7 linked regions of the Mus musculus genome follow. The protein of the gene in region 6 interacts with the protein of the main gene of each other region in a biochemical or structural test. Links are inferred from orthologs where the notes say so. Each region holds a gene or a part of one and is shown on either strand. Other genes may lie near its edges.

Region 1 (3,500 bases), on a different chromosome or scaffold from region 6:
GTGGCTGTTTGTAAACTACATTTTGGCACGAGTAACTTACAAACGTCCTGTTTCTTTACTTTTGGGGCTCTGTGTTTTTGTTGCTTGTTGGGTGCAGGGAGTAAGGTCTATTGATGAGAGTTCAATGACAAAAGAATCTCACAGCAGAAGTTCTCACGGGCAATGGGCATGACACTCGTCCTGAACACAGTGGATGGGCTTGTACTTGACCCCACAGCTGCCAGAGATGAACAGTTTCTCAACCACCTTACATATCTTCAGACTCACAGGCTTTGAACTTAATGAAACTCCACTTCTTTGAAATGTAGATGGGCAGCTAATGGTGAAATTTGGGAGCTTGGCTCTCTGTTCTCAATCACATGATCCTTGTTTTGCAGTATGGTACACAGTGACTGTGATTTAGCAATACAAACTCTAGCCGTGATGCCCTAAGGCAGTGGTTCTCAACTTTCCTAATGCTCGGATGACCCTAATGCTAGGATGCTATGATGTTGTGATGACCCTCCCCCCAACCATGAAATTATATTCGTTGCTACTTCATAACTGTAATTTTGCTACTGTTGTGAATAGTAATACAAACATTTCATATTCAGGATATCTGATCTGGGACCCTGGTGGGGGTCACAACCCACAGGCTGAGAACCACTGCCCCAAGTCTTCCCAAAAGCACATTATTTGTCTGGGCCACAGACCTGTAAAAATCAGAGCCAGGAACATCATCTAGAAAGGGCTGTCACTAAAGTCTTATAGGGAAATCCATGCTAGGAGCCTGCTGTTTGCATCTATTGGAAGTCGAGGCATCTTAAAGTCAAGGGATGATGTGTTTGGGGTTGAATGTGTCCACCAAGGTATTGATTCTGGGATGTGTCAGGAATATGGCAAAATGCTGACCCATTCTCTTGTTCCTTGACACTTTCAGTCCCAGCAGCTGTCACCAATCTGAGGATCACAGAGAACTCCAGTAGATACCTGTCCTTCGGCTGGACCGCCTCGGAGGGTGAACTCAGCTGGTACAACATCTTCCTCTACAACCCAGACAGGACTCTTCAGGAGCGAGCTCAAGTTGACCCGCTAGTCCAGAGCTTCTCTTTCCAGAACTTGCTACAAGGCAGAATGTACAAGATGGTGATTGTCACTCACAGTGGGGAGCTGTCCAATGAGTCATTTATATTCGGCAGAACAGGTAAGACCCAGGCCCAAACAGTAAGGGATTGCCAGGGAGGTGTCACAGTATCCACCGGCTCAGCCTTGGTTGTTCATCCTTCCCAATTCTGTCCAGAGTGGACCTTTATATGAATGTGTGACCTTGAAACTTTGACTCTAACTCAGACTAGGTATGAGTTGTGTCTTCTTATTCTAGTGGCTATCGTTCCTATTTAGTTATCTGGTGGGGTTCATGAAAAATTAACCCAATTCCTCTACTTGCCAGCAAACTATTCAAAATAGGGTGGTAACCATCATAGCTCTAGTCAAAGTATGTCCAGCAACTTCCTACAAGTAATAGATTGTGGTCGGGGCAGGTCCACAGAAGGTCAACTTTGTATCTACAAATCACACACACACACAAATGCATGTATGCATGCTCACACTGAGCTCTAGTTAAAATGAACAAGATTTCCAGGAAACCAGGATACAGAAATCTCTCTGGGCTGTAAATGAGTTGAATTTTTCCAACTTCTTCATCGTTTGGCAATTGCTTTTCAGTGCTTTGAGGTGCCAGGTACATGACTCCTGGAAAATCGAAATGACCAAGAAAGATAAGCTCCTGACCTTAGACAGCCTCGTGATAGAGGAGAGAAGAGGGTTGATGTCTTAGGATTTCCATTGCTGAGAAGAGACACCATGACCAAGACAACTCTTACAAGGACGACATTTAATTGGAGTTGGCTAACAGGTTCAGAGGTTCAGTCCATTATCATCATGGCAGGAAGTATGGCAGCATACAGGCAGGCATGAAGCTAGAGAAGGAATTGAGAGTTCTGGCACCTTGATTGGAAGGCAGCCAGGAGAAGATTGACTCTTCTGCACTGGGAGGGGCTTCAAAGCCCACCCTCACAGTGACACATGTCCCCTAACAAGCTCACACCTCTTAACAGTACCACTCCCTATGGGCCAAGGCAATTCAAGCTACCACAGTTGGGATAGAAGATTTTAAAGGGAGATGACTTTTTTTTTTAAAGATTTATTTATTTTTTTATTATATGTAAGTACACTGTAGCTGTCTTCAGACACACCAGAAGAGGGAGTCAGATCTCGTTACGGATGGTTGTGAGCCACCATGTGGTTGCCGGGATTTGAACTCAGGACCTTCAGAAGAGCAGTCGGGTGCTCTTACCTGTTGAGCCATCTCACCAGCCCCGGGAGATGACTTTGAAACACCTTAAATTCCATGAAATGAGCATGTCTAGACCATGGCTTAGCAGAACAGGACATTACTTTAAACAGAGGACATTTCAGCTGAGACCAGAAGGTGAGAAGAGAAATGCAAAGAAAGTATGCCAAGGACGTTCAATGAAAAGTGTCTACTTGTCCCCCAAGGGAGCTGAAAAAGAGCCATGACAACCCTCGACCACAAACCGCATTGCCTAGATCTTAAGACTGTTACCTCTATGCTTGGTCAGGAGAACTTGAACCATTAATAAACAGAAGATGGGAGATGTGTGTATCCATGGTGGTACACAGCTTAACCCGCAACACTCAGGAGACTGCAGAGAGCCGAGCGAGTTTAAGAATTTCAGCTACACAGAAAGATTCCATATTAGAGAGGGGAAAAAAAGAGTCCCCAACAAGTCCTCATTATCCAAAGAATACCAGCTTAAATCAAATACCTATGGAGCAGGTAGTGTTGTGTAGGGCAATTCCCCCTAGTTATTAGATTGACTGATAAAGATGACAAGAAGCCAGTCACTGGGCAAAGATGTGAAGGCAGATCAGGAAGAGAAAGGAAGAAGAGAAGGGTGAGATGAGATGGAGGCCAGGGAGAGACAAGATAAAGGGAGAAGGAGATGAAGATAGAGCTGACCCACAAGGCCTGGACAAGCCACAAGTGGCTAGGGATTTCATAGATGGGCAGTAGAGTAATGTAGGGTACATTTGCCCAATTTAGGGGTACAGCTTGAATTCATATCAATTGAGTTCTGTGTTCTTTTTTATTTGGGGGTTGGAGATTTACCATTATAAATCTGGCTGATAAAAGTCTCCAGTGTTATTATTTTCTGGGGCTAAGGGGACTGAATGAGGGCTCCAGGCATTTCAGGAAAGAGTGGTTTGGTCAGCTTAGCAAGTGGAGATGGAGAGAGCTAGCTCGGGAGCAGGTTTTTGATCGGAGTGGCTTGGCAGCAGGCTGGCCACGGGAATCAGGGCAAGATGGCCATAGGGGCTGGGTGAGACCGCAGACGACAGCTATTAGTGGAATTTAGTGTGGCTCATTTTTTTAAAACTACGGGCAACAGTGTTGTGGCTGGTTTATATCATCGTAGAAAGGGCTCTGAGTGCTTCTT
Region 2 (3,500 bases), on a different chromosome or scaffold from region 6:
CTGAATGCTGCCGAGGGCAGGTCCTTCATGCACGTCAACACCAGTGCTAGCTTCTACGAGGATTCTGGCATCACCTACTTGGGCATCAAGGCCAATGATACGCAGGAGTTCAACCTCAGTGCTTACTTTGAAAGGGCCACAGATTTCATTGACCAGGCGCTGGCCCATAAAAATGGTAAGGAACGTACATTCCGGCACCCATGGAGCGTAAGCCCTCTGGGACCTGCTTCCTCCAAAGAGGCCCCCACTTGAAAAAGGTTCCAGAAAGATCCCAAAATATGCCACCAACTAGGGATTAAGTGTCCTACATGTGAGCCGATGGGGGCCACTGCATATAGTCTGTGCCATAGACATGACAATGGATAATAATATTTCAGACAGAGAGCAGGAGTTAGGTAGCTGTGCTCCTTTCCCTTTAATTGAGTGTGCCCATTTTTTTATTCATGTATGTGTATACATGTGTGTGCACACATGCCATAGGTTGATACTGAACACCGTCTTCAATCGTTCCCCACCCCACCTTATTTTTTGAGGCAGGGTCTCTTCCCTGATCCTGGGGCTCATTGGTTTATCTAGGCTGCTGGCCAGTGAGCTCTGGAGTTCTGCTTTTCTCTACCTCCCTAGCCCTGGGACTGCAGGGGCATGTGCTGGGTCAGGCTTTTATGTCGCGTTGGGGATCTGAACTTAGGTCCCTAGGCCTGAGCACCGTAAAGACTCTGCCACATCCCCAGCCTGTTTGAGCAAGTGAACCATTCCCCAGAATTCCCCCAGTGGGGCTTTCCTACCCTTTTATTGGCTAGGCATTCATGAGTGGTCACCTCGCCAGAGGAATGAGTGGCCACGACTGGCTCAGGGTCAGCAGCCTAGAGATCCTGGGTTAAGTCTTCCTGCCGCTCGCTCCCTGCAGCCGCAGACAGAAAGTAGGGCTGAATGAGAGCTGGCTAGTGGTCAGACAGGACAGAAGGCTGAGAGGGTCACAGGGCAGATGTCAGCAGAGCAGACAGGTTCTCCCTCTGTGGGGGAGGGGTGGCCCACTGCAGGTGTAATTGGCCTTCTTTGTGCTCCATAGAGGCTTCCTGGGTACACAGCAGCTTCCCTGTCCTGGTGATTCCCAAAGAGAACTCCCTACCACTGGACTTACAGAAGTTCTATTGACTGGTGTAACGGTTCAACAGCTTTGGCTCTTGGTGGACGGTGCATACTGCTGTATCAGCTCAAGAGCTCATTCACGAATGAACACACACACACACACACACACACACACACACACACACAAGCTAATTTTGATATGCCTTAACTAGCTCAGTGACTGGGCATTTCTGAACATCCCTGAAGTTAGCACACATTTCCCTCTGGTGTTCCTGGCTTAACACCTTCTAAATCTATATTTTATCTTTGCTGCCCTGTTACCTTCTGAGAAGCCCCTAGGGCCACTTCCCTTCGCACCTACATTGCTGGATGGTTTCTCTCCTGCAGCTCTTAAATCTGATCCCTCTGCCTCTGAGCCATGGGAACAGCCCAATAACTGAGTTAGACATAAAAACGTCTCTAGCCAAAACTTCAGCTAAATTTAGACAATAAATCTTACTGGTTGTGGAATCCTTAAGATTCTTCATGACCTCCTTCACATGGCACGAGTATGAAGCTTTATTACAATTGTTTATTGATCAAACTAACTCATAAAAAGCCAGTTGTCTTTCACCTGCTCAAGGAAGGAACAAAATTCATCCTTAACTGATCTGTGCACCTTGCACAATCCATACGAATATCTTAAGAGTACTAAGATTTTGGTTGTGAGAGTCACATGTTACAGAATGTACAGCTTTGACAAGGTGCATCCTTGGGATGCCGAAGTGACCTGCTGTTCCAGCCCCCTACCTTCTGAGGCTGTTTTGGAAGCAATGCTCTGGAAGCAACTTTAGGAGGTAGGATGCTGGAACAGCGGGTCACTTCAGCATCCCGATGACGAATCCCGTCAAAGCTGTACATTCTGTAACAGACTGGGAAAGCTGCAGACTTTAAGGCCAGGGCCCTATGGTCCCTCTTAATCCCTGTCACACCCAACCCGAGCCCTTCTCCTCCAGCCGTTCTGTGCTTCTCACTCTGGATAGATGGAGAACACGGCCTTGCTAGTTAAAGGAGTGAGGCTTCACCCTTCTCACATGGCAGTGGTTGGTCATCCTCATTCAGGGAACTCTGGGGCATTCTGCCTTTACTTCCTCTTTTTGGACTACAGGGAATATATGCTGACTTGTTTTGACCTTGTGTATGGGGAGACTGGATCTTTGGTCTGGAATGTTTCCTGCTAGTTTTTCCCCATCCTTTGGCAAACCCTATCTATATCTTACCACTAGGCATAGTGGCCCTCGTTCTGGAGCCTGCCTTCAGGCTGGTTCTCGGGGACCATGTCCCTGGTTTCTCCCCAGCATATGGTGTTCACAGTGTTCACTGCGGGTGGTTGCTGAACAAAGCGGGGATTGCATCCCAGAGCTCCGGTGCCTTGTGGGTACACTGCTAAGATAAAATGGATACTGGCCTCTCTCTGACCACTTGCAGAGCTCTGGTGCCTTGTGGGTACACTGCTAAGATAAAATGGATACTGGCCTCTCTCTATCCACTTGCAGGACTCTAGGGAACAGGAATCCATTACTGAGAAAACCAGGGGCTAGGAGCAGGGAGGTAGCTGGGCAGCTGAAGTGCTTGGCGACTAACCAATGAATACCAGAGTTTGGATCTCTAGAATACTCTTAAAATCTGGGTGGGCAGAGTGGCCTGCCTGTAATCCCAGAACTCGGGAGGCGGAGACAGGGAATCATCAGAGCAAACTGGCTAACCAGAATAGCAAAACACTGAGCTCTGGGCTCTGTGAGAGATCCTGCCTTAACATATAAGAGAGAGAATAAAACATTGAAGAAGACAGTAGATGCCAATTTTAAGCCCCCACATGCACATGGACAAGTGTGCGTTTGAACACACATATGCACTCATGTGAACCAGGCATGCACACTCGGGCTTATCACACACATAATTTGAAAGAGAGAGTGAGAGAGGAGAGTGCACATTAGAGTTCACAGGAAAGTGTGAGTGAGCACACCCATGCACACAGACATGTGTGCCAGGGAGTAGGAAAGGAGCCTGGGTTTGTGTATAAGAGGGAGCCATCATGTGTTTCTAAGGAGGGCGTGTGAAGGAGGCGTTGTGTGGGCTGGGACTGGAGCATGGTTGTAACTGAGCATGCTCCCTGTGGGAAACAGGAGGGTGGCCACCCTGCAGAGGGTCCCACTGTCCAGCGGGATCAGTAAAAGCCCCTGCTGAGAACTTTAGGTAATAGCCAGAGAGAGAAAGGTAGGAAAGTGGGGGGACTCCCATCTCTGATGTAGGAGGATCTGGGCAAGTAGAGGTGCGTTTGAGGTAGAAAGAGGGGTGCAGAGGAGATGCTCTTAATTCTGGGTCAGCAGTTTCTTTCCAAATAATGCCTGTGAGGAGGTGTAGGTGGTGGC
Region 3 (3,500 bases), on a different chromosome or scaffold from region 6:
AAGGTAAGAAGGGTCCAGCATGGGCTAACCCGTGTGATGGCACTGTCTTGGCTACTTTCTTACTGCAGAGATAAAACACCATGACCAAAGCAACTCGTAAAACAAAGTGTTTAGCAGGTTTACGGTTTCAAAGGGTTAGCAGCCATGATGGCGGAGCAAAGGCTCAGTGGCAGGAACATTTGAGAGCTCACATCTTGAGCCACAGCTAGGAATCAGAGGGGCTGGGGCACACACTGGCACTCACACTCGAAACATCGATGTCTACCCCTCAGTGACACACGTCCTCCAACAAAGCCACATTTCCTAATCATTCCTGAAAAGCTCCACCGACTGGGGACCAAGCATTCAAATCCATGACCCTCTGGGACCATTCTCATTCAAACCACCACTGTGTATGAGGTACATCAGTGGCACCAACAGGGAGGGCAGCTGTTTACCTGGTGCTTTCAAGGATCAGGTAGGAAGTACCTTAAGCTGCCCTGGCCTTGAAGTCTCTGTCACAACTATTCAGCACCTTTGTGGTGGTATGGAAACATTACAGAAGATGCAGGAGAGACAAGAGGGCCCATCCCACAGTTGATTTACCCAACTCTGAGGCTGGATTTGGACCCTAGGCCATAACCAGTCAATTTAGGAGGATGTGCCCTTGAAAGCAAGCACAAAAAGATTACTTGGGGCATTCTGAGGGCATCTTCTGGGTGGAAGAAGAGGGGAATTGGATGGCAACTCTGTGGCAGTAAGAAGGGAATGCTCTGAGGACAGCTCAGATAGCAGCATGGTATCTGGTTTCACACAAACCAGGTCTAGGGAGTTAGCATGGTTGGTAAAGTACTTGCCTTGCACTGGCCCTGAATGTAATCCCTGGGACCTATATTAAATGAAAAACTGTGCATTGTGATATGACCTTGTAACCTCGGGGCCAGGGAGGCAGAGTCAGGAGGATGTCTGGGTGTCAGCAAAGCTGGCTTGGTGAAGTTCCAGGCTAGAGAGAGAAAGAGACCCTGACTCAAAAGAAGAAAAAAAGGAGAAGGTGCCTGAGGAATGACACCTGAGTTTATCCTTTGGCTTCCACGCACATAGAGGACATAGACACGTATGCATGCAAAGTAGCTCACACACATGCACCTGCATCCCTATGAACACAAATCAACAAAACACGGCATTTCCCCCGACTTTTAAAACTGTTGAGCCTGTTTCTAAGCTCTTTCAACAAATTGCAAACTCAGACCCATGCTGAATGAAAAAGACCCTGTTATGCGGTGACCAGACCAGTCAGCAGCAGCTGGACTCAAGATCTTGGGCTAGGAGGTCAGGAACTCCAGCTTCACAGTGTGGGCAGCCTGCTTTGGGCAGGTCTCTGCTAGCTTTCTGTACTTTGTTATTCTTGCTTGAGAATAGGGGCCGCAAGCTTTTGTGAGTGACTCCTGACAGAGAGATGAGGTGGTACAAGCCAAGTCCTAAGCGCTCTCCTGCTCCTAGAACTCCTTGAGAGACAGTGGCTGCTGCCTACTGTTGCTCAGCACCTGTGTCATCAGGCAGCCATGTTGTGACACATGCCTTTCTGCTGTCACTCATCTTTTACCTTCTGTGTTCCTCTCTTAGCTGCCCAACCTTCTGCAGATGTTTTGAAGTACACGTATGAGGATTTCAAAAGGGGAGCCTCGGATACTTATGTCACATACCTCATAAGAATAGAAGAGAAGGGACAGTCTCAGGGCTTGTCTGAAGTCTTGAACTATGAAATTGATGTGGGGAACCAATCCACTACCCTCGGCTACTACAACGGGAGGCTGGAGCCTCTGGGCTCCTACCGGTAATATCTGGGTCCTTGCAGTTGCCTTCTGAGCCTCGTGAATGTCAGGTTGTGTACTATGAGGTAAATACACCTCAGTCACCTTATTTTCTCCTTTGCCTCCCCACAGGGCTTGTGTTGCTGGCTTTACCAATATTACCTACAACCTTCAGAATGACGGCCTCATCAATGGGGATGAGAGCTATGTGTCTTTCAGTCCATATTCAGAGGCCGTGTTCTTGCCCCAGGACCCAGGTAGAGTGAAACAAAAGCCCTGATGTGGATTTTGTGTCTTGTGTCTGCAGAAACTTGCTGACCATGCCCCTCTCTCAGGTGGCTTGGAGGGTGGAGGATTTTGGCTCTCTGAAATTGACATGTCCCTTGGTCTTTGGGGTCAGCCTAGCTCCCCACTCTGGGGTGCTTGAAGGAACAGCTCCCCACTTCTCCTCTAAACTGGTCACACTTCTTCAGATTACTTAGTCCTTTGCTTTCTAGGAGTCATTTGTGGGCTTGTGTGAGTTAGTTAAGAGTCCTTGAATTAGAAGGAGCCACAGGAATTGTCTTGTCTAAGCTCTGCTTAGAAAGAAGGCTTTTAAGGCTTAGAGAGGGGGTGTGCCCAGTGTTACACAGTGGCTTAAATGCAGTTCTGAAATTCTAGCCTTAAACTCCTTGTGAGGTGTTCTTCCTACTCAAGATCACAGAGCTAGATATGTGGGGATCTCAGGTAGCTGACTGGTCTGTTAGCCTGCTTTTCAGAGCTACTGAGTCGAACAGATTACCCAGAATCGAATTTCAGGGCGTTCCTGCTCCTTCTCTTAAATAGCTCCCAAAAAGGGTGGGCATGGTGTTGTAGGTAGTTTTGCTCATAGGTGACAAGAAAAACCAGTGATCTAGCTGGCTCAGGTCCCCACATTTGCAGCAGAACAGAGACCTAGGTCAGGGCTCTGCTGTTTCCAGGACTATCCTTCAAATGGGTGAAGGGAGAAGAAATCAGCCCTGAAAGTTGTTCTACTTTTTCATCCAAAGATATTTACTTGTTCGCTGTGTGCACACACTCCCTCTCTCCCTGAATCCTGCATGGGCAGGCTGGCTGTGTGTGTAGCACATGGCCCTTCGTGAACACCCATTGAAATCCCACTGTTGGGGTCTTCCCCAGGTGTCATCTGCGGAGCAGTGTTTGGATGTATCTTTGGTGCCCTGGCCATCACAGCTGTGGGAGGCTTCATCTTCTGGAGAAAGAAAAGGTGATATTGCTTATTAATCATCAGGTGCTATTGTTGAAGGGAACTTTCTATTATATGGAATGGCAACCGTATGTATAATCAGAGGGAAGAGTTGAAAGAGCCCCTGTGTTCTTCACAGTGTCACCACCTGGCCAGTCCTCTTTCCTCTCTGACCTCCTCCCATCTGCGTCAGTCCTACACTGACTTGCTGGATGCGACTTTCAAGTCAGGATTCTATGAATGTGTTAAGAGTTTCATAGGGTTTTAGAGTTGGGCAAGTTTGAACTCAGGTTCCATCCTTGCTCGTGGTTGGAAGCCCTGACACTCTGTGGTGTGGGAATGAGTCCCCGGCTTAAGGAGCTGAGGACACTGACAAATGTCTCACTCCATGACAACATTATTCATCGTTCTCTTTGTACCACCACCCTGTGGTGTAGTTAACTAGTGAGAACAGTGCTGTGTACCTGGATTTGTTGTCACCCTGA
Region 4 (3,966 bases), about 30 Mb from region 6:
TCCTGGTCCTTTATCTCAACCCTCTCAGCACAAGCCAGTGAGAAAAAGATCTCTATATTCACATTTATATAGGAGAGATCTCTTATAAAGTCAATGAGTGGAAACTCTGGACATTTTTATCACAATTTCTTGTTCTTTTATACCTCCTTGTTTTCCAATTCATTGTGTTCTGCAAAACTTACAGTTTCCTTTTACTGGATTCAGTTTTCCCAGAGGCACTATGGGAGAGCGCCAGCTGGACTTTGTTTCTCAGCAATAAGATCTAGTCCCGTCCAGTCCCCCCACACCCCCCCCCCAAGCACCCTTTGATCTACAGACATTACTGCAGTAATGTCACTCTGGGAAAAAAAAAAAAAAACAGGAGAGAAGATTCCCCTCCCCTCCTCCCAAAACACCTGGATTAGAAAGGCCTGCATTGTGTCAGCTGTGTGGCTTCAGGCTATCTGTAAAATGGGTATAATTATGACCTATCCAATTTGTAAGGCAGTGAAGATAATCGCTGTGGAAGGTGAATGCAGTAAGCTCCCAGCACACAGTATGTCTGTTTGCTGCTTCTCTGGCCTAGAGATGTGAGAGTTAACTTACAGTGAAGCAGGACTCATTTCAGCCAGAATCGGACTTACTGAAACCTGAAACTGTGGGAATGGACAGGAAACCGGAGCAGTCCTTGGATCTCTGTCCTACTCTTCCACGACGCTGGGGAAGAGGGGTTGAGCATAGGCTCAACGTTCGACCTAGGGTGGATAGCCTCTGGCCTTCCCTCACCCTAGCACCGGCACCACCCAGAGGTCTTCACGACCCCGCCTGCAGCTCCAGGCTTAGAGGGGGGAAAAAACCAACAACAGCCACCAAGACCCTGAGGACGCAGCTGCTGGCGACAGCTCGTCTCACGGCCTCCGGGCCTGTGGGGTCCAGGCTAACTGGCCTCTGCGCCGGCTGCCCTCGGGGACCTCGCGGGGCTGTGGGCGTGGCGAGCGCCCGCCTGCTGAGGCGCCCTGGTGGGGCTGTGTGTGTGTGTGTGTGCGCGCGCGCGCGCGCGGCCGGAGGGCGGGGGGGGGGGGTGGAACTCGAGCGCGCGCAGGCAGCCGGGCCCGCGCGCCTCACTGCCTCGTCCTCGCCCCGGGGCTGCCGGGCCCCTCCCCTCCCCCGCGAGCCGCGCACCGGCAGCCGGCTGACCCAGCAGCCCGCGCCCGCGCCCTTGTCCGCGCGAGCCGGCGGCGGGCTCCAGTTTAGCCGGCGACATGAGCGGCGGCGGCGGCGACGACGTGGTGTGTACCGGCTGGCTGAGGAAATCGCCTCCCGAGAAGAAGTTGAGGCGCTATGTGAGTGAGGCGAGCGGGCGAGCGGGCGCGGCCCGGCGGGAGGGCGGCCGGGGGCTGTCCCGCGGCCTCGGAGATGGGGGCGCTGAGAGAGGCCGGGCGCGGCGAGCCGGGGCCCCGCGGCCTCCGAGGGCGAGAGCGGCGGGCGCGAGTGGGGCGCCTCACACCTGTCACAGGTGCGCCGCCGAGGGGCGGGGCGCAGGTCGGGGCTGCGGCTGCCGCCTGCCTCCCCGAGAACTCCTCGCTCGCCGAGCCGAAGTTTGGAGCGATTGTTCCGGGCGACCGGGAGAGTAAAACGCCCGGGGCCGAAGGAGCCGAGTCGCCCCGATCGGGAGGGTAGGCTGAGGGGCCGCGCGGCCCCGGGCCCACAAAGGGCGAGGCGCCGGCGCCCCTCTCCCGGTCCCTTTCTCTGTCCGCCCCTCCCCGGTGGCCGCCTTGCTTCCTTCCAGTCTGCGGCCACTACATCACGGGCAGCGTCAGCGGCATGTGCAGCGCTTGTATTAAGTGACTCATTTGTTTGTCCCCCTTCTTTCCCATTATTCCGAATGTTTCTCACATACCCCCCCCCCCCACACACACACACCGCGGTCCTCCGCCCCACGGGGTGACACTGCAGTTTGGTCCTCAATAACTGGCCAGAGTTTTGTGTCGTCTGGTGTCTGGGGTCTGAAGATGTGGCTCTGAATTGCTAGGTGGTGCGAGCTGGCTGTGTGTAGTGAAATTGGTGGGACGGGCCGTCCCCTCTACGTGAGAAACTGGCAGTTGGGGTCGGGGCACCCACTTCTTGTCTACCGAGCTCAGAGAACAAAATGGTGCCAGGATCCGAGATTGGGGTAGTCTGAGGAGTTTAGAAACGGAAAGTCCGTTAAAGGAGTGCAGGTCCTCCCATCTTCTCGCTCTCCACTTGCCAAGAATCGTCCTTGTTCTGCTGCCTGGGAGTGCTGGACTCTGAGAAATCACTCCCACAGCCTGGAAGTGAGCGGTCGCTTCCAGCTGCAGTGCATCAAGGGAGCTCCCAACAGACCCTGCCCTCTGTCAGCTGCACTAGTGGCTGGCCATGGGGGACAGAAGCTTACCAGAGTTTCCTGTCTCTACTCCCCAGATCAGAATCAAGGGACTTCTGGCCTCTGGACTGAGGAAGTGACATTCTGTTTTTCAAAGGAAGTGTTGTTGGGGAGTGCAAGTGTGTCAATGAAACCAGGCTCTGACTTAGGTCACTTGCTTGCTGGGAAGAGGGGGCAGGGGGAAGGGCAGGGAATCTAAGGATTTAGTGCATGCCTTTTGAAAATGGACAGAGATTTGGCATACAGTAATATAGTAGGGGTGTTTAAGCTTGAAAGCTCATTTGGGGGGGGGAGTTGATATGAGTAAAATATTTTAATTACTAGGAGCTTTTTCTTTTGTTTTGTTCTGTTGCCTGTTGCTGTAGCCTAGGCTTGAACTGCCAGCACTTACACTTGGGAAACAAGAGACAGGAGGATCAGAGGTTCAAAACCAGCCTAGCTTGCTACTTGAGACCCTGTCTCTCATTTGCATACCAAACAACACACACACACACACACACACACACACACACGCACGCACGCACGCGCGTGCCCATCATGGATGCACACAACTTCAAGATGGCTTAATGGGTAAAAGCAGTGTCCCTTAAGCCTGTTGACTTATGTTTGATCCTCTGGAACCCATATAAAGATGGAAGAAGAGTTCTGACCTACACACTCACGCTGTGGTGTCGCGTACACTCACACAGTCTCTCATATACACAATAATAGTTAAGAAAATTGTGTGGGGTGACTTTGTCGGGATTGGGTGGGGTGGTTGTTCACGCCTACAGGCATGAGCATGCATCCAGTATCTGGAAGATGGAGGCTGGAGTGGCAGGCGTTCAAGATCATCCTGGACTGCTTAGTGAGCTCAAGGCCAATCCAGACTACATGACCTGCCGCTGAAATAGTGTCCAGTTTAAAAAAATAAAATAAAGATTTCAGATTAGAAAGGAATGTAGCATAGTTGATAGAACGTTTGCTTAGCATACAAGATGTCCTGGGTTTTATCCGAGTACATCATAAACAAGTGCTGGGTGGCACAAGGCTGTAATCCCAGCATTCCAAGGGGGAGGGGGAAGGAGGATTAGAAGTTCAGGTCATCCTTGAATTTGAGAAAACAAACAGAAATACTACTTTAGAGATCTTTGGAACTTTGTTTTTTGAAATAGCTTGTAAAAAAAAAGTCGATACTCGTTGCTACTTTGACTCAGGACTGGATGAAGATACAGACTTACGAAGATTCTCTTTATGACCTAGCTCTTGAGTATTTTTTAGAACAGAGTTAGCTCAGAATAAGCCAAGTTTGGAGGCTTGTGTTAAACACAGATTTTACCCTTTTAAACTCCTTAGCAGTCTTGGGTCCTCTGGTGACCTCAGCCTCCTTCTCACACACATTCCCTTTGGCTCCAGCCCCTAGGGCATCTGACACATCAAGCAACAGCTTGGTGTGCCTGGAAGCCTCTCCCACTGTAGAAAGAAGTTTAGCCCTCCTACTTGAAACAGCCAATCAAAATAACTTATGCTTCCAGTACAGCCTCCTTCTACATCCACTACATTTCTGGAGTAAACAGTTGGCTTTTACACACACACACACACAG
Region 5 (3,500 bases), on a different chromosome or scaffold from region 6:
CATTCTGACTCTTCTCCCCCTGCCCCTAACCTAAACTTTTCCAGTTTATAATCTTCCCTCCCTAAGCTTATCATTCCCACGTAACCCTGCCATTTAGACAGGTGCTCTCTTGCCTCTCATATTTATCTTTCTCACTTTCTACCCCATTCTCTCTCCTGTTATGGCCAAGTCCAATCTACTGGTTGTTATTTAGTCTACTTTCTCTCCTTGCTCTGAACTCTTCAGTGCCTCTGGCTGTACCTTACCTCATTTTATTTTATTTTTTATTTTTTGTTTTTCGAGACAGGGTTTCTCTGTGCAGCCCTGGCTGTCCTGCAACTCACTCTGTAGACCAGGTTGAGCTCCAACTCAGAAATTTCCCTGCCTCCGCCTCCCGAGTACTGGGATTAAAGGTGTGCACCACCAAGCCCGGCTGTACCCTACCTCTTTATCTACAATAAAAACCTTCCCCTCAACTACACCTTGGAGAAGTCATAGTCCTGTTCTTAACTTTATCTCAAAACCCTCATTTTATTTATATACTCCCTATGTGGGGTTAAATAGACACATGTGCCAGGTGTGGTGGCACACCTTTAATCCCAGCACTTGACAGGCAGAAGCAGGTGGATTTCTTAGTTGGAGGCCAGCCTGGTCTACAAAGTGAGTTCCAGGACAGCCAGGGCTATACAGAGAAACCATGTCTCAAAAAACTAAAAAAAAAAAAAAAAAAGACACATGTACTTATTATACCTCCTCAGGAAAAGTCTGTCACAAAACATGGGATTACAGACACGTGTGACTACAACTGTCACTCTCTTTCTCTTCAGACACAACAGAAGACAACTTGGGATACCATTACAGATGGTTGTGAGCCATCATGTGGTTGCTGGGAATTGAACTCAGGACCTCTGGAAGAACTGTCAGTGCTCTTAACCACTGAACCATCTCTCCAGTCCTCTCCTATCATTTTTTCCTCATATTTTTATAAGAAAGAAAAAAAAAGTAAAAGAAAAATTCTATAATCAAGAAAATGAACTCACCTTCCCTCACTGTCTTTGCAATAGGGGCATGTACATGCTTCCCGACGAGTCCTGCGTCCAGCTTGGGGTTGGAGATCAGAGCTATTCTCTCCTTCTCCACCTGCTGTCTCATCATGTATCCCATCACCACCAGATCCATGAAGACCAAGTTGAGTTCCATGATCACCTGAAATAAAAAGACAAGGAGAAAGGTGAAAAGGCAGGACTAAATAGCTACCGAAATTTCACAACAGAGTCAGCCACGACTGGCTCTTTTTTTTTTTTTTCCCGTGGAGCACACTTTTAATCCCAGCACTCAGGAGGAAGAGGCAGGTGGATTTCTGAGTTCGAGGCCAGCCTGGTCTATACAGTGAGTTCCAGGACAGCCAGGGCTATACAGAGAAACCCTGTCTCAAAAAAACAAAAAACAAAACAAAACAAAAAAAGCGTGTGCCACCAACTGCCCGGCTCTAACTTTTAACTACAGTTCTTCCATGAGTGATATGTGTAGGATGCTTGTCTAAATCAAAGGACAACTTTTGGCAATCGGCTTTCTTTCTACCACATGGGTTCCAGTAACCAACCTCAGGCTGTCAGCCTTGACAGCAAGTGCCTTTACCTGCTGAGCCATCTCACTAGCTCATAACACACCATTTCTTCAAGATCTGTGTGTGTGTCTCTGTCTCTCTCTGAGATTTATTTATTTTATGTATATGAGTACACCACTGCTCTCTTCATGCACACCAGAAGAGGGCATCAGATCCCATTACATAAGGTTGTGAGCCACCATGTGGTTGCTAGGAACTTAACTCAGGACACAGACAGTGCTCTTAACTGCTGAGCCATCTCTCCAGTCCCGTCTCTCTCTCTCTTACTTTAATCTGACATAAGGTCATGCTATATTTGCCCAGGATGACCTTGAAGTCCTAGGTTCAAGCAATCTTCTGACTCAACCTCCTGAATAAGTACCTGAAAGACTGCCAAGGGACTACAGGTTTAAGTTTACATAGCAGTTCCAGGATGACCTTGGCTAAAGAGTGATACTCATGCCAAATACGAAGCCAAAATGACATCAATATCATTCTGGAATCTTTTCTCCACCCCTTTTAATAATAGTTTTAGAACAGTTTACTCTTAAAACATGGTACTACTAGTTAAGCAATGAGATAAATTAAAGATTGGCCTTCCTGTGATGAAAGTAGATAGGAAACCAGAGGCACAGTGTAATGACAGTCTTGGCCAAACCCAACTGTTGCCTCTAGCATCAATTTCTGAAACAACTATGGATGTTAAACATCTTTTCAGTTTCTTCTAAGTAAAGAAGTGTGGCTAAAGCCACAACCTTCCAAGATCACTAAGAGTCAAAACCTTATTCTTTGGGGAGAAAAAAAAAAATCTTGGGAATTACTAAAGTATGATGAAGACATCATGAACATCAAGAACTGTAAAGCAAAAACAAAACACCTTCTAGAACTGATCCGAGGGCCTCCACACAATAGACAAGTATTCTACCATTCAAAAAGCTAGTTTCTATATATTTCTAAAAACTCCAATTAGGCTTCTAGATTCCCATCTCTCATCTTGCTGTGAAAAACACGACAAAAACAAAAAAACAAAACAAAAAAACAAACAAACTTGGAAATTAAAGGGTTCACTTCATCTTACAACTCTTAGGCCATACTCCATCCTGACAGGGCAGAATGAGGCAAGAACCAAGAGGCAAGATTGACTTAATCTCCAAGGCTTCGTCATCCTGCTTACACCATACCCAGCTCCCACTGTGCTGGGTCCTCCCATATCAAGTATTAATCAAGAAACCTACAGACTTGTCTACAAGTGCCTTTAATCCCAGCACCTGGGAGGCAGAGGCAGGCAGATTTCTGAGTTTGAGGCCAACCTGGTCTACAGAGTGAGTTCCAGGACAGCCAGGGCTACACAGAGAAACCCTGTCTTGAGAAAAAGAAAAAAAAAAAAAAAAAAAAAGAAAAGAAAGACACACCAGAAGAGGGCACCAGATCCCATTACAGATGGTTGTGAGGCCACCATGTGGTTGCTGGGAATTGAACTCAGGACCTCTGGAAGGGAAACTAGTGTTCTTAACCTCTGAGCCAACTCTCCAGCCCCAGGACCTAGTTCTTATAATAGGTCTCTTAACAATCTTATAGTCCTTAGTCTGTAACTTCAGCTCCTGGGTATCCAACACCTTCTGGCTTACACACACACACACACACACACACACACAAACACACACACACACACACAGAGGTAGACGTACAAGTACACATAATTTTTTTACTTCCTCCCTTCATGTTTATCTCTCTCTCTCTCTCACACACACACACACATACACATACACATTTATATACACACACCAACACAGAAACACAAGATTTCAATATGGAGGCCTGGAACTTAGTGATTCACCAGCTTCTGCCTCCCTCATACCAGTATTAAAAGCATGTCCAAGCCTGGCGGTGGTGGCACACGCCTTTAGTCCCAGCA
Region 6 (4,056 bases):
GGAGGAAAACCTGCAGGAGCTAATTCTCTACTTCCATTGTGAAGGTCCCAGAGATCCAACTCAGATCTTTGGGCTTGCTTGGCAAGCATCTTTACCTACCCAACCATCTTACCAGCCCAGCGTGGGGGGAGGGGGGGACAGAAAGACAGAGACAGACAGAGACAGAGAAAAGGTGACAGTGAATTTAAATTGATTTAGTTACCTTTGTCCACAGCTACCACCCTTTCCCTCCTTCTCCCGTGAAGTGAGCTGGGTTGCACGTCCTCTGGGCAATCAGGCAGAGGATTTGTACGACACTGGGGCCTCAGCACACACCTGAGCCCCCCTGCAGGCCTGTGTCTTCACACTGGAGTCAGGACCGACTTCACAGCTTCACAGTGCTGCCTGCCGTCCACCACCCTCCAGATTGCTTCCTCATTATAAAACGTAAGATATACTCCCTCAGCAACTCAGGGTGGCCCACTCCTACCAAGTCTGACAGCCTGAATTGGACACCTGGGACCCACATGGTGGAAGGAATCAGATGTCCTCTGACCTCCACACAGGCTCTGTGACATACTTACGCTCCAACACACAAAATTAATAAATGTGGCAAATAAACGAATAAGAAATTATGGAAGCTGGGCATGGTGATACATACAGCTTCTAACTAATCCTAGCACTGGCGAGTTAGTATGTTGAGGCCAGCCTGGTTACCTAGTCTACATAGTGAGTTCTGGAACAGCCAGTTCCATGTCAAGAGACCCTCTTAAAAAAGAAAGAGAGAGAGAAAAGAAAGGATGGAGATGTGGCTCAGTGGTAGGATGCTTGCCTAGTAGCATCCTGAATCTGTATGATGGCTCAGGCCTAAAGGCAGGAGGATGTGTTCAAGGCCAACCTCCACCACATAGAGAGCCTTTGGGGCTAGCCTGGATTACCACTATCTGTTTAAATGAAACAAAGATGTGAGGCAGGTCTTCAAAGGTTAACTGTAAGCCGGGTGGGTTCCCTTAGCATTACTGAGGGCCACTGGCCCCTGGGGCTGCAGAACTCTCTTGGCAGACTAAAGTACCCTAGTGGCCAAGGCAGGGAAGGAACAGCGTAACTAGGCGGGAAAGCCGGGTGCGCGCCCAGGAGACCATGTGACGTCTCGGGCCCGCGCAGGCTCGCCCGGCAGGCGCGGGGGCGGGACGCGCGGGGGCGGGGGCGGAGCCTGGCGCGCGGCCCCGCGGTGACAGGGCGGTAGGGAGGGGCGGGGCCGCGGGCGGGGCAGCGGGGGGAGGCGGGAGGAGTGGAGATGGCGGCGGCGGCGGCGGCTCCGGGGGGCGGGGGCGGGGAGCCCAGGGGAACTGCTGGGGTCGTCCCGGTGGTCCCCGGGGAGGTGGAGGTGGTGAAGGGGCAGCCATTCGATGTGGGCCCACGCTACACGCAGCTGCAGTACATCGGCGAGGGCGCGTACGGCATGGTCAGGTGAGGGGGCGTCCCGGGAGGGGGCTTCGGAGCAGGGACAGCAGGTGTGTGCTCGGGACATGGGGGGCTCAGGGAGTGTCGCAGGGGAAGTATCGTGCAGTGACTTCTGGAGGACTAGGCGCTACTTTCTCCAGGGAGGGGGGTTGGAGGCTTTGAAGCCACCTTGTATTGTTAAGGGAGGGGCACCTGGGGGACCCTAGAGATAAAGGTGGAGCTAAGAGGATGAAGGGGGAGTGAGGGACCCACGAGCAGGTAGTGGGAGCCTTGGTTCCCCCCTGATGAGGCTGTGACAGAGAGTTTGAGAGAGGAGAGCAAAGCTCAGGGTGGGGCAAACCTTTGCACCTCTGCCCCTGGCAAGGCTAGGGGCCCAAAGTAGGGAAGGGTCTCTAGAATGTGCCTTATTTTGTGGTATACGGGTTTGTGAGTTCTCGCTGCCCCACTGTGTGCTCTGCTCTGGGCCTTTGTTCCTATGGGAGCAGCTCTGACCCAGGAACCGCACAGGGAGACCTGCCTGCCCCTCCTTATCTCTTCTCTCCTGTCCCATTACTGAATCCTCTAGGCTTCATCTACTTTCTCCATTTAACTCCTATCCCCTGGACCTGTCTGGGATTGAGAGAGTCCAGCTTGGGAAAGGGGAGGAGGGTGAGGGCAACTAGAATGTAAGAGGGTCCAGGAGAAAGGAAGTCGGTGAGTGGCCACTCTCTTCCTCTGTTTGTGAAGTCACTGAAAGGCTGCCTGGCTGATACCCAGCTTTCCCCTGGAGATCCCAGGCCTTCACAGCAGGAAGGAGCCAGCATTGTTTACATTTGGCCAGAACCCTCTCCTCCTCTCTCCAGTCCCTGCCAAGACCTGGGTGGGGCCAACAGGCCTGGATTCCCCCTTTGTAAGGCCACATCTCTCTGGCCCTCTCAGCTCAGCTTATGACCACGTGCGCAAGACCAGAGTGGCCATCAAGAAGATCAGCCCCTTTGAGCATCAAACCTACTGTCAGCGCACGCTGAGGGAGATCCAGATCTTGCTGCGATTCCGCCATGAGAATGTTATAGGCATCCGAGACATCCTCAGAGCGCCCACCCTGGAAGCCATGAGAGATGTGTATCCTTCACCTTAGCCACAGCCCCAGAGTAAAGCTAGGGAGCTTGGCTCTGTTGTCTGTGGTCATCTTTTGTACTACCCTCCAAAAAAAAAAAACCCCAGCAAAGTAACTTTTTAGCAGAGAGTCTACAGAGCATGAGAGCACACTGGCAGGCCTTGGATCCTGGTCTGTCGCAGCCAAGTGGAGTGGCCTTGAACACATCCCTTTCTGCTCTGTGCCCCAGTATGGTGTGTGGGGAGGGAGAATGCTGTGGAAAAAACGATCTCTATGGGAGCTTTGTCTTCTGACATCTGCAGGTCTGTGACATGACCCAGTCTCTGCCCACAGCCTGTTCTTGCTCAACAGACTCACGATTCTTTCTTTAGAGACCTCACACTGGATGGAAAGCAAAGAAGAAAACCGGTATTGGGCAGGCCTAGTGCTTTGGTTCTAATTCAACCTTCTAGCTTCCCTGTGTGACGGATGAGTTTTACTGTGTCCATTTCAAAGATAAGGAAACCGAGGCTCCTCTGTGTTAAGTTTTGCAGTGCCTTCTAGGGGGAAGGGGAGTGGGCGATACTTAATCCAACATGGAGGCAGTGGAGGCTTTCAAACCACATTGTATTGTTAAGAGGGGGAACCTGAGGACCCTAGAGTCACAGGGTGGAGCCAAGCCTTTGCACTCCTGCCCCTGGCTAGGCCGGGGGCTCAAGGAAGGGTGAGGGGCCCTGAGAGTCTGCCTGAATTCGGCAGTTCCTGTTAGTAGCTTCCTCTTCTCCCCCAGTTGGCTTCCCTGGAGCCTTCCCACCTTTCTGAGAGCCCCACCCTGATCACCTGTGGACTTGTACCTTGACCAGGGAGGTTAGTCCAGCCCTTGTTGCCCTTGCTTGACACTACTTGCCTAGTTCAGACATCCAGTTCATTGTCCATATCTACTTCCTGCCTGGCTCCATTGTTAGCAGACGGTAGCACCCATGGCCTTTTCCCTACCCACCCCTCCCAATGCCAGGATTTGTTCTACAGCCTCTGCAACTCTGACCACAGGAAATCGACATACTCCCGTCTTGCTGCATGACCTTCAGCAGGTCTCTGCATCTCTAGACTTGCACATTTATAAAGCAGCAGGGTTGGTCCCTGTGTGTATATATCTGCAGGTGCTTATTCCCTCGTTTCTTCTTTTTGAGAAAGGGGTCTTGCTATGTAGATCAGGCTAGCCCTGAGCTCACAGGGATCCAACTGCCTTTGCCTTGGGGGTGACACCAGCCCCAGTTTACATGTCTTCTATAGAAGACAGTTCAGACTTCAGTTTTTTTTTTTTTTTTTTTAAGAAAGTTTCACAGTGTATCCCTGGTTGGCCTCAGGCTAACTTTGTAGACCAGACTGGCTTTAAACTTCTAGGCAATCCTCTAGCCCCTGCCTCCCAAGTGCTGAGATTATAGGAGTGAGGTGCTCTACCCAGCTCCTGACTATTCTTCCAAAGATAAGCCATTTGTTTTTGCTTAATCTTTGTTTTACCTTCAAGTATAAAAGGA
Region 7 (4,088 bases), on a different chromosome or scaffold from region 6:
CCAGGCGCCTGATTGCCAGGATCTTTTTCCCTCTCAGAGCTGCAATACCTTCACTGGAGACCCTTTCCCCCTCAGAGCCTGCTGGAACACTTCATCCCAGAAGTTAAGAGCTGTTTGCTTGCCACGGAAATCAAATAAATGTGACAATGACAACTGTGGTCTTGTGCTGTTTTAAAGATGACAAACCAGGCTTATCAGCAAACAGTTGCTTAGCCAGCCCAGGAGCAGGAAGTGGCTTATTGGATATGCAGGTCTCCCCACAGAGCCTTCAGCTCTGACCCCCTAAGAACAACTGCCTCAGACTCACAAGAAGCTCTTCCTATGTATGCCATGAAAACCTTCTTCCTCTCAGTATACACTTAGGTCCTTTCTCAGATGTCCATTCCAGCATTTCTTTTTTTTAACGATGCCCTGATATTCTACTGTTTGGAGGTAATTTATGTACCTGATGCCTTACTGTGTTACTGTTTTCCCGTTAGAGAACTTTGTGATGAATGTCTTTGAATACATGTACTTAATAGCATTCCTCGGAACACTAATCTTTTTGTTTCTTCGGATAAGTTCTTGGAAGCGTGCACCTTTGTGTGCAGTGTGACCGACTACCTGTAAGATGATGCAGTGAGGTGACTGCAGGAGTGGGGCCTCACCTGGAGAGACCATTGAACAAATGACCTTGTCTGAAGGCCTTAGAATGATCGAGGTTTCCCAAAATTGAGGGCCAGTTGTAAAATGTTCACAATACTCAGGTGATCTCAAGACCCTGTTAAGTCTCGGATGGGATAAGTGTGACTTAGGGTCTGGATAGCCTATCCCAGAATGTTAGGGTACTATGATTCTACCCAGAGCTAGGGGGAGGGAAGAGGCAACTGGGGAGATGACGTAATGTGCTCCTAGAGTAAAGGGGGCGGTGGTAGAAGGTAGCGCCGGACAGCGGTGCGTTAACCCTTCTATTTCCGGGCTCTCGACAAAGTTGCTCCTGGAGCTGATCCAACGGAAAAGTAGCGGCTCCTTTAAGCCAGAAGAAGGCTGGGACGAGGACCCGGCGGCTACTCTCCGCTGGCGCTTGGATGCCGTGAGGGGCGGAGTCCCGCTATGCAAATCTGAGCTGCTGATCGATGACGCACCATCACCCCATGAGCCGCTTCGCGCGCCGATTGGCTAATGCAAGCCTGGTCCCATTGACAACAAACTTGGGGGTGCGGAGGCTCGGGGCGGGGCTGCAGTGGGCGCGGCCCGGGGCGGGGGAATTCTGCCCCGCCCCTTCCGTGGAGTCGGGGCGCAGCTCAAACATGGCGGCGGTTGGCACGGGGCGGTGAGGCGGTACCAGGTGGGGGCTGTCGGGTGTCATGGGCGGTGGCGGCGGTACCGCCTCCGCGTCTCCCTGAGCTGGACCTCACGGGGGACTCTGCGCCAAGCTGGGCGATGGATGAGAGCAGCGAGCTGGGCGTTCTGGAGACCATGGAGACCCTCACGGAGCTGGGCGATGAGCTGACTCTCGGGGACATCGACGGTGAGTGGCGGCGGCTGGGTGGGAGTGCGGGGGGCGCGCGGGGAGGAAGGGGTTACGGCGGCGCTCGCGGGTGCGCGTGCGCCCACCCCGCGATCGCCCCGGCGTGCGCGGGAAGGAACCCGCGGGGGCCGGGCTGCCCGGGAGGTTCCCAGTTCTTCTGGCTCCAGAGTCTGAGCCCGGGTCGTGACGCAGGGCTCCCGGTGGCTGAGGAGTCGTGGGCGCCGCGGGGCCCGAAGCGGGGCTGGGGGCGTCGCGAGTGCCGCCAGAGGAGAAAGCGAGGCGGCTGCCTCCCTCGCGCGCCCACACGCGCTCTGGTTTGTCCGGTCTTCGCCGGCGTCCCGCGTCGCACCTGTCACTCCCTGCCTGGCCACTGGAGCGGCTTCGGGATTTCCCGGACTGCGCTCCCGGGCTCGGCTCCCCCACGCCCCCGCTCTTTTCGGGATTGACTGACAGCCGGGTCTGCGGGCGCTCTGGAAAACTTTGGGCAACAGCTGCAAAAAGCAAGTTACTGATGGAGTGGACAGAGACCGCAGAGTGCGGCGGCCTTGGATGGAGACCCGGGCGCTCCTGCTGTCGCACTGCAAAGGGAGTTGAGCAGCAAGAATTTTGAGTTGTGGCCCCTCGGGTACAGACTAGGGAGCTGGTGGCCTTTGTTTCGGCGGCCTTAACAGCGAAGTGGAAGAACTGGTAGGAGCCCAGGGAACCTCTCTTAAAATTCTCTCACTTTTCAGCCACGGGAAGGAAGGTTTGGAGAGGGTCCCAGACTTGCCCGCGGTCATCATGCTGGTTAACAAAGCCCAGTTCTTTCTGTTTCTGAGCCACTATTAGTTTCTTTCCACTCCACCTTTAAGAAAAATAGGCTAGTAATTAAGTCATTCTCAGTAGTCAGGGCTCTTCTGAAGTTCTCAGTCCCAAATACTTTGCGTTAGTTCATTTATTCAATCCCGCTGAATTGGGTATCGCTCAGTTTTGCCGGAGGTGTCGTTTAAGGTCACTTACTTTAGAGAGTCCAGAACTCCTAGGCAGTGACTCAGTTTATGGAATGTTACTACACCTAGAATCTAGAACCTTGCAGGCAGATGTGATGGCCACATCCTCGCTTCGCAGGCGAAGAAGCAGGTAGAAGGTTCTCTCGTGGAGAAAGGAGTGACAACAGTTGTTTAAAGAAGGTGTTGGCCAGGTGCCTGTTTTGCTTTTGTAGCATTTTGTAGCATTTTTCCCTTAGGGTTCGCCCTTACTTCTCATTTTGGTCATCCAGACAGTGTGACAAGCCCGTGTATTGGAAGTTCCACTTTTAACCACAGATTCTTCCACCAAGGATCGCTAAACACTAAGATAGGTTAACGAATGGGAGGGGTTACTCCTTGGAACGTGGGAGTGGCTAAAGTGTTTTGAGCACCCAGGTACAAGATAAAAGTGTTAAGCACTCACACAGGTTCCCAATACTTATCACAGCCCTGTCAGATAAAGATGGATGTCAGACTGGCCATCTCCCCTCACCGTTGTTGGGACTGAAGCCCAGCGCTGTTCATTAGCATACCCAGGGTTCCCTAGTCAGTAAGGATGTCTAAAACTGCCTGCCAGCAGGTACAAGAGAAAATTCATCTTGGTCTTTTTTTTTTTTTTTTTTTTTTTGTACTTACATTTTATAATGATCTTTATTTGTCTGCGTTTTCAGTCTATTAAATCATCTTAGCGGTTAATATTAACCTTATAGATTGCTAAGTCTCACGGAAAATTTTAGGACCACCTGGGGTTTTGTATGTGCCTAGGGCAGCAAGTGCAAGTCAGAGGTGGGAAAGCTTCCTTGAAGGCTAGTTTACCAGAAAGATCACACCAAGGAGATAGCCATTGACCTTAAAAGACAAGAAGAACCAGTTGAACAAAGCTAAGGACACCGGGCTAGTTGGAAGTGTCCCCTGAACCCTCTGTTCTCCTGAGCAGGTTACTGGAGGGGCGGGGGGCGTGGTACGACGGGACAAGGGGACAAACCACCTTTCTTTTTCTTCCCTCTGTTCTTTGCACCGAGAACAGCCCTTGGGACAGTGAGAATGCTCACTGTTTATGGAATGTCTGTATGAGTACCTGGGACAGGATACTAAACGGTATTAGGTATAGTTTCCATGATTGGATCAGGGTGAGCAGCCCATGTGCATCCAAGAGGAGGAAGAGGAGAGGTGATATGAATGCACTTTTGTAACTGGAAGCCTAAAAGTCTCATGGCTGCCTTCAGGAGCTCAAGGAGCTGTGAGTCCAAGACCAACAGGGTCTCTTCTTAGTCGGAGAGCTTTACGTTCTTTAAGTTCTTCTTTCTTTTTTTTTTTTTTTTTTTTAAAGATTTATCTATTTATTATGTTTAAGTACACTGTAGCTGACTTCAGACAATCCAGAAGAGGGAGTCAGATCTTGTTACAGATGGTTGTGAGCCACCATGTGGTTGCTGGGATTTGAACTCCAGACCTTCGGAAGAGCAGTCGGGTACTCTTACCCACTGAGCCATCTCACCAGCCCTAAGTTCTTATTTCTTTGGGGTAAAATAAATGGTCACTGACCTGGAAATATAGTTCCATGGCAGGGT

What was found.
Region 1: of the proteins of Mapk3 (region 6) and Ptprb, one has a biochemical effect on the other in vitro, tested with the Homo sapiens proteins (2 studies listed by IntAct). The link is inferred for Mus musculus from reciprocal best matches to the Homo sapiens genes MAPK3 and PTPRB.
Region 2: of the proteins of Mapk3 (region 6) and Dusp3, one has a biochemical effect on the other in vitro, tested with the Homo sapiens proteins (2 studies listed by BioGRID and IntAct). The link is inferred for Mus musculus from reciprocal best matches to the Homo sapiens genes MAPK3 and DUSP3.
Region 3: of the proteins of Mapk3 (region 6) and Ptprj, one has a biochemical effect on the other in vitro, tested with the Homo sapiens proteins (2 studies listed by IntAct, with this or other methods). The link is inferred for Mus musculus from reciprocal best matches to the Homo sapiens genes MAPK3 and PTPRJ.
Region 4: of the proteins of Mapk3 (region 6) and Gab2, one has a biochemical effect on the other in vitro, tested with the Homo sapiens proteins (2 studies listed by BioGRID). The link is inferred for Mus musculus from reciprocal best matches to the Homo sapiens genes MAPK3 and GAB2.
Region 5: of the proteins of Mapk3 (region 6) and Sp1, one has a biochemical effect on the other in vitro, tested with the Homo sapiens proteins (2 studies listed by BioGRID). The link is inferred for Mus musculus from reciprocal best matches to the Homo sapiens genes MAPK3 and SP1.
Region 7: of the proteins of Mapk3 (region 6) and Srebf2, one has a biochemical effect on the other in vitro, tested with the Homo sapiens proteins (2 studies listed by BioGRID). The link is inferred for Mus musculus from reciprocal best matches to the Homo sapiens genes MAPK3 and SREBF2.

What each region holds. Positions count from the first base shown.
Region 1 is NC_000076.6:116,342,874-116,346,373, forward strand, and holds part of Ptprb (receptor-type tyrosine-protein phosphatase beta precursor), read left to right. Parts: intron 1-919; coding exon 920-1,183; intron 1,184-3,500. UniProt on the Homo sapiens protein: Plays an important role in blood vessel remodeling and angiogenesis. Not necessary for the initial formation of blood vessels, but is essential for their maintenance and remodeling. Can induce dephosphorylation of TEK/TIE2, CDH5/VE-cadherin and KDR/VEGFR-2.
Region 2 is NC_000077.6:101,978,292-101,981,791, reverse strand, and holds part of Dusp3 (dual specificity protein phosphatase 3), read left to right. Parts: coding exon 1-175; intron 176-3,500. UniProt on the Homo sapiens protein: Shows activity both for tyrosine-protein phosphate and serine-protein phosphate, but displays a strong preference toward phosphotyrosines. Specifically dephosphorylates and inactivates ERK1 and ERK2.
Region 3 is NC_000068.7:90,451,596-90,455,095, reverse strand, and holds part of Ptprj (receptor-type tyrosine-protein phosphatase eta isoform 1 precursor), read left to right. Parts: coding exon 1-3; intron 4-1,602; coding exon 1,603-1,813; intron 1,814-1,922; coding exon 1,923-2,047; intron 2,048-2,948; coding exon 2,949-3,036; intron 3,037-3,500. UniProt on the Homo sapiens protein: Tyrosine phosphatase which dephosphorylates or contributes to the dephosphorylation of CTNND1, FLT3, PDGFRB, MET, KDR, LYN, SRC, MAPK1, MAPK3, EGFR, TJP1, OCLN, PIK3R1 and PIK3R2. Plays a role in cell adhesion, migration, proliferation and differentiation.
Region 4 is NC_000073.6:97,080,585-97,084,550, forward strand, and holds the start of Gab2 (GRB2-associated-binding protein 2), read left to right. Parts: upstream 1-1,166; 5' UTR 1,167-1,241; coding exon 1,242-1,322; intron 1,323-3,966. UniProt on the Homo sapiens protein: Adapter protein which acts downstream of several membrane receptors including cytokine, antigen, hormone, cell matrix and growth factor receptors to regulate multiple signaling pathways.
Region 5 is NC_000081.6:102,423,316-102,426,815, reverse strand, and holds part of Sp1 (transcription factor Sp1), read right to left. Parts: intron 1,186-3,500; coding exon 1,020-1,185; intron 1-1,019. UniProt on the Homo sapiens protein: Transcription factor that can activate or repress transcription in response to physiological and pathological stimuli.
Region 6 is NC_000073.6:126,758,370-126,762,425, forward strand, and holds the start of Mapk3 (mitogen-activated protein kinase 3), read left to right. Parts: upstream 1-1,256; 5' UTR 1,257-1,276; coding exon 1,277-1,449; intron 1,450-2,361; coding exon 2,362-2,544; intron 2,545-4,056.
Region 7 is NC_000081.6:82,145,981-82,150,068, forward strand, and holds the start of Srebf2 (sterol regulatory element-binding protein 2), read left to right. Parts: upstream 1-1,288; 5' UTR 1,289-1,422; coding exon 1,423-1,510; intron 1,511-1,569; exon of another isoform or gene 1,570-2,197; intron 2,198-4,088.